Callithrix jacchus: one gene and its partner. The protein of the gene in region 1 purifies or fractionates together with the protein of each later gene. This does not show direct contact. Links are inferred from orthologs where the notes say so. Each region holds a gene or a part of one and is shown on either strand. Other genes may lie near its edges.

What was found. The genes of interacting proteins can lie anywhere in the genome.
Region 2: the proteins of CYLD (region 1) and SPATA2L purify together in Homo sapiens (affinity purification with mass spectrometry; 3 studies listed by BioGRID and IntAct, with this or other methods). This does not show direct contact. The link is inferred for Callithrix jacchus from reciprocal best matches to the Homo sapiens genes CYLD and SPATA2L.

What each region holds. Positions count from the first base shown.
Region 1 is NC_133521.1:8,668,229-8,672,280, forward strand, and holds the start of CYLD (ubiquitin carboxyl-terminal hydrolase CYLD), read left to right. Parts: upstream 1-1,247; 5' UTR 1,248-1,401; exon of another isoform or gene 1,402-1,845; intron 1,846-1,944; 5' UTR 1,945-2,004; exon of another isoform or gene 2,005-2,023; intron 2,024-4,052. UniProt on the Homo sapiens protein: Deubiquitinase that specifically cleaves 'Lys-63'- and linear 'Met-1'-linked polyubiquitin chains and is involved in NF-kappa-B activation and TNF-alpha-induced necroptosis.
Region 2 is NC_133521.1:47,332,022-47,336,379, forward strand, and holds the start of SPATA2L (spermatogenesis-associated protein 2-like protein), read right to left. Parts: upstream 2,858-4,358; 5' UTR 2,770-2,857; exon of another isoform or gene 2,399-2,769; 5' UTR 2,398-2,398; coding exon 2,095-2,397; exon of another isoform or gene 2,033-2,094; intron 1,681-2,032; exon of another isoform or gene 1,596-1,680; intron 225-1,595; coding exon 1-224.

The DNA of each region.
Region 1 (4,052 bases):
GACCAAACAGGGACAGGAGCAGAATGAGGCTTAGATTTTCCAAAGATGTTCATTTCACTTTGGATGACTATGGCAAGGAAGAGGGGTGGCCTGTCTACTGCTACTGTTAGTCATCACTCATGTGACTGCTTTTATGTATTCATTGGTTTAAATTCCCTGGATCTCCAGAAACATGTCCCTTTCCACTGGGGGAAATTTGTGTCATGATTAAAAACACACACATACACACACACACACACACACACACACCTCCTCCCTTCTCAGTGTTAATCACCTTCTCCTATAATTAGCACTTAAAATGTCAAAGGAGAAGAAATTAATTAACAGAAGTATCCAGTGCAGCAAGGCTCTGGGACTGATTATAAAGAGCACTTCCTTAAATATTTTGAGTACTTTTGGGACTCAGAAGCCTCCCTTCTAATTGAAAGATCCTTAACTACACCCTAAGTCCTGGCTGGTGGCCAGGGGTGCGGGCTGAGTGAGGTGGCGTGTGGAAATCCCTTCTTCACCATCCTTGGGAGAATTCCCTTCAAACTGGGATAGGTGGCAATAGAGGTTCAGAAACAGCAAGCGTCCCAGGCTGACTCTGCGGGGGAGGAAGAGATGAACCTTTCCTGAGCTGCTACTGAGTGCCAGGAACTTTAACTCGATATTTTGCCACAATCCCGTAAGACAACTGATACTATGGTCTCCATTTTACAGATGAGGACATTGAGGCTCAGCGTGGTTGTGACTTCCCTAGGTCACGCGGCCACTGAATGAAAGAGCCAAAGATTCAAACTGAGGTCTGATTCTAAAGCTTTGCTCTCTCGCGGCATCCTGGAATCCTATTCCCAATCTTCGTCTGGACTCCCAACCCAGTCCAAAGCTTAGCTTCTACAGTTTTGACAGCTGAGGCAGGCGCACGGGAGGCGGAGCTGGGAGCAGCGCAGCGCCCCGCCCCAGTTCCGGCATCAGCCAATGGTGACGCGGCACCCCCCACCCTTTGGCCCAATCAGCTCGAGCTCACCGCCTCCATCCCCACTCTTCTCCGCCCCGCCCCTCCGCTTTCCCTTTGGCTCCACCGAGCTTGACCGAGCGGAAAGTCCCTTCGGTCGGCGCCGGGCTGGCAGCCATTGGAGGAAGGTCTGTCACAAGGAGACCCAATCAGAGCCCGCTCAAGGGCGCAGTTCGGCCTGTGATTGGCTAGCGCGGCGGCTGCCCCCTCCGCCCCCGCGCCCTCCCTCTCCCCTGGGAGATTCGGAGGCGGGGCAGGTGGGGGCGGGCCCAGGTAGCAGGTTCGGCTGCGCGGGGGCCGAGCGTCGGAGGTAAATACTAGGGCGGTGGGTGTGGGGCCGGGGCTGGCCCGGGACCCGGGCTTGGGAGCCTGGGCGAGGGGCGACGCCCCGTCGCCGGAGGCGAGTGAGTGAGCGGGCGGCGGGCTGCGGGCGGCTGGCGGCCCGATCCCTTCTGCACCACCGCCCGGCCTCGGGGCTCCCGGAGCCGCCGCGGCGACCGTCGGGCCCTAGGCGCCGGCCCGTTAGTTGCCGGGGCCCGAGCCGGCCAGGCCCGCGGGGTGCCGAGCCCGCTGACGTCAGCCCGGGCTTCTCCACCCCCGGGACTTCCTCACCCCCCGAGGCTTCCCGGGAGGGCTCCGAGTCCGGGGAGCGTGCGTGGTTGCCGCCGTCGGGACCCCAGGAGGAGAGAGGACTTGAGGCGGGAGCCGCGCGGGACGCAGCCTCCCCTCCTCGCCCCCACCCCATTTACAGATGGGGAGACTGAGGCACAGGCCGCTGGCGGGTCCCGACGGCCACGGTTGGCCTTGGGAGCCTGGGGCTGTGATTCCTCCGGTCCACGCCGCGGGGCGTAAGCACCGATCGGTTTTGGGGGTGTTGGTGGCTCCCGTCCAGGAATCTCGGTCGGGGTTCTGGCCTCGTTAATGGCGTGTTCTGCTTTTTCTTTCAGTTTCGCCCTTTCCAGGGTGAGGATGGTTCTACACAGCCCCCCGGAGTTCTTTGTTGAAAGGTGCGCCTTGTTGTGACAGGTATTCTTTCTTTATGTTTTTCTTTTATGTTAACGATAAGTGGGGTGGGGAGGCGGGTGGGCTTGGGGAAGGAAGTCATAAAATCTTGAGGAAGATGTTGTTGAGTTTGGTTCTCAGCTGGGTCAGCTGCCGGGTTATTCATGTACTTGGCATAATTTTTCTTCCACTCCTTGGCATTTACATGTTTTAGGATAGTTGTCATCTTCCAGCCACCAAGCCTGTGGCCCTGCAATCTTCCAGCCCCCATCATCCCTACCACCGTCCTCTCCCCAGTTTTTCCTGGAAAGTTGTATCCTTAGCTCAGCTAAGGAGCATACCTACCTAGCCTTTGAATTCGGGCTAATTAGGGATCTTAATAATATTGTTCATTTTGCAATCATTGGCTCTCAGAGAGGCACCCAAGCCTTGAGAGGGTGTTCATTGTTGACTTTCTACACACCCCCTCATGCCCCAAGTAGATTGAATGGCCTTAAGAATTTAGCCTCCCATTCCCCACAGAGCAGTGGGTAGATTTGAACTAGATCAGTATTAGGAGAAATGATTTGCTGGAAATTCTTATTGAAGTTCATGTACTCTGAACGTCGAGAACACCCAGAACATTCTCTAATATTCTGCTGCAAAATTTTACAGTACTCTTGCAAATAAATCTTCCTTTGGATGGTAATTTTTGTGAGAAGCAGATAAGGCTTGTTATGTAAAACAACAACAAACATTAAGCATCAATGATTTTTGTAGTCTGGCCCACGTAAACTGTGGTTTTGTTTGATTTAAGGAAGTCTTCAACACAAGGAGAAAGGAGTAATTATGCTCTTTATCAAACTATAGTATTTTGTTCCTGATTTTCACACTATGATCTTAGTTTTTAAAAATTTTTTTACATTGGTTGTAGAGCATTTATAAGCATCATACACGCTAATGAAGGTCTAGTGTCAAATAAACCTCAAAACAACTTGGTTTCATAATTGTGAAATTTTCCATATTTGTTTCTTATGTGTATAAAAATGAAGTGGTTTACCATGACTTCATTTTATCCAGAAAATTAGTGAAGTTTTAGGCAAAAATCATTAAATACTCCCAATTCCTGAGTCTTTTTATTTTCTCTTTCTCTTTGTTTAATCCCTTAAACAGAAGGAGGAAATGCAATTTTGTTTTCACTGTTACCATTTGAGTCCTTCATTCATTTTTCTGTATTCAGTGCCTAGCATATGCCAGGCTCTAGTGTGGGCACTGGATAATATAAAAATGAAGGACTTGGGGAATTCACAGTTTGGCAGGAGAGTGGCTATGTTTAACGTTAGAGAGACAGCAATATTCCTGGTTCTGGTGGGAACATGCAGATGTGGGAGCCAGGCTTTTTTTTTTTCTTCTTTTTCTTTTAACTGTATAAATCCCACTTATATTAGGGACTGTGTACTTGTAGCACAAGTTAGTCATTGAGGAAAACTAAAACTGACTCAGTCTCTTTTCTGGCCATGGAATCTCTGTATCCCTATTCTTTAGCTGTTTAGGAATATAACAACTTTGTCTTTTAGTGAGAGGTGTTCTTTTTTAAAAGGGCAATCATTCTAGCTATCTAGAAGCTTTTGGAAAAAGGCCCACATGTCTTCTTTCCTTGGTGGTCACGCTGACCTTCCTACCTTTTTGCCATTTATAATTAGGGACAGAGTCAAGTATTGTGATTTTTATTCTAATTTGAGACGGAAAAGCTCTTGCATTGGATCTATCTTTGTGAGATCCTTGTGAACAATATAACCTGATAACTTGAGAATCATAAACACACTGTATCTTCTGGATAAGTTAACCATTGTCAGTTTTCTGTAGCTACTGATGTTCATTTGTACTATATGTTGCCTTTCAGAATGTGGTAATTGTAATCGTTAATGTTTTCATGTAAAACTTATTTCATGATCATTCCATTGCTTTCATGGAAAATTGATAAATATTTGTGCCTTCCAACCCACATCGTGGTTTAATGACTTTATCTTAATATGATTAAGTTCCCCTTTACTCAGAATCCAGACTCGCAGCA
Region 2 (4,358 bases), about 39 Mb from region 1:
ACACTGGTGCCCAGCTGGGCCAGCACCTCACCCAGGATCTCACATTCCAGCCGGAGGGCGAAGCAGCCCAGGGCCACCTGCACCAGCTGGCAGGCAGGGGGCAGAGCAGTCACCATGAGCCGGTGGCTGTCCCTGCGCACGTAGCCCATCTTCTGGAAGCTCTTGAGGAGGAGGTCATCTGACAGCACACCCTTCAGCACGTGCACGTAGCCCCCGGAGAAGGTCTGCAAGAGAGCGACCTGGTCAGCGGACCCCGGAGCACAGCGGGTCCAGGATCATCGGCTCAAGCGTTGGCAGCTTCTGATGCTTGGGCCCAACCCCAGAAACTAGGCTTAGCCAGTCTGGGCCAGGCCCGAACATCACAATTTCTTTTTTGTTGTTGTTTCTTTGAGACGCCATCGCTCTGTCATCCAGGATGGAGTGCAGTGGCTCGATCTCAGCTCGCTGTTGCCTGTGGCTCCCAGATTCAAGCAATTCCCCTGCCGCAGCCTCCCAAGTAGCTGGGACTACAGGCACCCACCACCACACCCAGCTATATATTCATACTTTTAGTACTAAGAGACAGGGTTTCACCCTATTGGCCAGGCTGGTCTCGAACTCCTGACCTCAAGTGATCTGCCTGCCTCGGCCTCCCAAAGTGCTGGGTTTACAGGTCTGAGCCACCGTGCCCAGCCTAGGATTTCTTAGATTTAATGGAAAAAACAACTAATACATTAACCTGCCTCATGAATCAGAACAAAACAAAGAGCCCCTGTACTGAGAAATGTCATTGTCTTCGTCCCCTGCCACTCTCTTTACCCCTGGAGATGGCTAGTCTAATTAGTTTTGGATGTGCCTGCCCAGGTGTTACTTTGCAAACACAAATATAGATTTTGGTTTGCCCCTCTTATGAGGGGCCCCACCCCTTTTCAAGGTCTCTACCCAAAACTAGAATAGGCAGCCTCTTAAACATGCTGTTCTGAACTTTTCTTCCCGTTACAGTCTTGCAGATGAGGATGGAAGCTCCACCCTTCATTTTCCCCTGCTGCCCTGCGGTGTAGTATTCCACCACCTGGAGGCAACGTGTTTCCAGAGCTCCAGAGGCTGTCCTTGCCCTGGGCTGACAGCCGTAACAATGGTGAGTGCTTTCTAGCCTACAGTTGGGCGAAGAACTAAAGGAGCAGGACAGTCACTGCCTCCTGAATGTAAAATTCCCTAACTCCATGAAAGGGGCACGGCCCACGTGCCTGCCGCACTGAGCTCAGGGCTTCCATTCATTCCTCGGGTCCATGAACTGGACTGTCTTGTGTCCCTGTTTCAGAGGAGGAAAGTGGCTGAGAGAGATGAGGTAACGGCCAAGGCCTCCCGGCCAGGAGGCAGCAGAACTAGGTCCAACCCAGGGGTGCTGGGCACTGAGGCCCGGCCCATTCTCTCGCCCTGCCTGGGAGGCCTCAAAGGCAGACCTGTCCTTCCCTCTCGTGAATGAGAGTTCAGCGGACCAGCAGGTGTCCCCGGGGAGCCGCGCAGAGATTGCCGCTGCCATGGCAACCGGTGGAGGCGTAGCTCGCCCACGTGTGCAGTGGCGTCATCCGCTTCCTACTCTTCCGAATTAGCTCAGAGCTCCGGGCGGCCCTGCCCCCTCCTGCCGCCAGGATCTCACCTGGAGGGGCCACACCGGCCCCAAGCCAAGGAGCTCACTAGGTCTGTGCCCAGCCCTGCACCTTTACAGGGATCCGCCCATCTGCAGTCCTCCCAGCCTCGGCGGCCGCCTCTGCAAATGGGAGTGGCCCATATCCTGGAGGAATGAGGATGACCGCGGGACCTCAAGTCCCTCCTGTGCCCCTGTCCCAAGATTCCCATGGTAGCTGGGGCCGCGAGGCCGCCTTAGGGAAGACACTGACACACGCTCTCGAGCAGGACAAGCCTGCCCTCGCCCACCCATGTTCTCAGCCCTCAGAGTGGGTGCCCCAGCACGCCCCCGACCCCTCGGCGCTCTGAGCCCTGAGACGCCCACCGGGCACTAAGGACGCTGAAAGCCCCTCTCTTCCGACAGGCGTGGTCTCCCTCGACCCGCAGGCCAGGACGAGGAACGCGCTTCCGCGGGCCGGCGCCTACCTTGATGGTGGTGAACTCCTTCCTCCAGGGCAGCAGGTACAGGTGCACAGCGGCCAGTTCCAGCAGCTCGAAGGCGCGGGCCAGGCCGCGCAGCGCGGGCGCCAGGTCGGCGCGGCCCCACAGCCCGTCGGTGAGCAGCGCCAGCGCGTCGTCCTGCAGCGCCCCGTGCAGGTCAAAGTCTTCCACCAGGATCTGCCAGAGCACCGCGCGCAGCGAGGGGTCCCCGCACACGCCCGCGCGTCCCCGTCGCAGCTCGCGCTCCAAGCACAGGCGGTAGTCCTCGGACAGCGAGCTGCTGCCCATCCTGCGGCGGGCGGGGGGTCAGGGACCTCAGGCCGCGCCCTGCTCTCTCCGAGCCCCCGCCCAGCGTCCCCAGGACCCCCCGAGCCTGGAGACCCCGCCCCCACCGGCTGAGCGCCCGAGTATCCTTGGCACCCCCTAATCTGGAGCCCCCGGCGCCATCTGCCCGCCCACCCGGCGATCCGGCCCTCTCCAGCTGAGCGCCCCCGCACCCCCAGCCCCTCCCCAGCCGGGGGAACCTCGGCCTTCCAGGGGCGCCCCGGTTACCGACCGCACCCTTCCCTACAGACGCGCTTCCGCCCGCTGAGCCCTCTCCAGACCAGAGCCCCCTCGCCTGGCAGATGGAGCTGCGGAACTCGCGGGAGATGGCGCTACCTGTCCGTCCACAGCGGTCGCCGGCAGCCACCGCTCAGTTCGGGTCTCCGCGTGCGCCGTGCGCTTCCGCCGGGAGTCGGCTCCGCCCGGGTCCGCGGCCTTGACGCCGGGGGCGGAGCTTGGCTTAGGCCCCGCCTTCAGCTAATTTAGGAGGGGCGGGGCCTGGTGAAAGCCGGAAGGAGGCGGTGTCCCGCCAGGCCGATCACCTGCGCGAGGCGCCCCGAGAGCCTCCTGTCACCGCGTCGCCCGTCGCCCGTCTCCCCACGGGACCCGTGTCTTTCACGACGCCCCAGGGCCGAGGGCTGCGGGCTCAGGGGAGGCGCTCAGTGAAGGTTGTGCCTGGGCCGCTTCTCCCTATGAGACAGGGACCCAGCCTCAGGCGTCCCGGCACAGGGAAGCAGGTGCGCGGGCTCGTCCCCCTCCGGGGCGGGGCCCCCTGCATTGCCTGCGGTGATTGGTTGGATCCTGGAACGAGCCGTTTCTGCGGGGCGGGGCCACCTGCATTACCTGTGGGGATTGGCCGGGCTCGGGGGCGGGCCTCTCCCGCGGGGCGGGGCTATTTGCTTGTGGGCGGTGCCCGTCGCGGAAGGTGGGCGCAAGGACAAGCCTTTTTCAGCCTCGCCTCAGGTCGGTGCCAGGACCTCGGGTCCTATTTCTGCCGCTTCCGCTTACCGGCTTCCCGCACTTGTCAGCCGCCGCTCCTGAGAGCAGCGTCTGGGCGGGTCTCTGAGGCAGGGCGAAACTGCCCCCTCTCTACACTAAAAGCTGACCTGGGCTGTGGATCCTTCCAGGCTAAATCTGGGCCACGACCTCCCGGGGGCGTTTTGTTCGCTCGGGTTCCTCCGTTCTGTGCTAAAGACATTTTCTCGCATTGCCTAGGAGAGGAGGATGAGGGAGACCCTTGGGGTCCCAGCCTCGACCCCCCCACCTATACTCCCGCTTTGGGCAGGCTCTGCTTCCCGTCTGTGCCCCTCACCTCTCCAGGCCACCAAAACCAAGGCCCAAGTTTGTTGAAACTTTCCCTGGGCCGCGACGTCTCGTCTCTGCTTTTTCTTAAATTAGTCTTAAAAATACTGTAATCGTGGCCGGGCATGGTGGCTCACACCTGTAATCCCAGCACTCTGGAAAGCCGAGGAGGGCGGATCACTTGAGGTCGGGAGTTTTGAGACAAGCCTGGCCAACATGGTGAAGCCCCGTATCTACTAAAAATACAAAAATTAGCCAGCCGTGGTGGCGCATGTCTGTAATCCCAGGTACTTGCATTGTAACAATCCCCACCTGTCAAGGGTGGGACCAGGTGGAAATAATTAAATCATGGGGACAGCTTCCTCCCTGCTGTTCTCATGACAGTGAGTTCCACCAGATCTGATGGCATGGCAGGAGAATCACTTGAACCCTGGAGGGGAAGGTGGGGCCTGCAGTGAGCCGACACTGCACTCTAGCGTGGGTGACTGAATATGGTTTGGGTCTGTGTCCTCTCCCAAAAATCTCATCTTTTTTTTTTTTTTTTTTTTGAGATGCAATTTCACTCGTTGCCCAGGCTGGAGTGCAGTGGCGCAATATCAGCTCACTGCAACCTCCACCTCTCA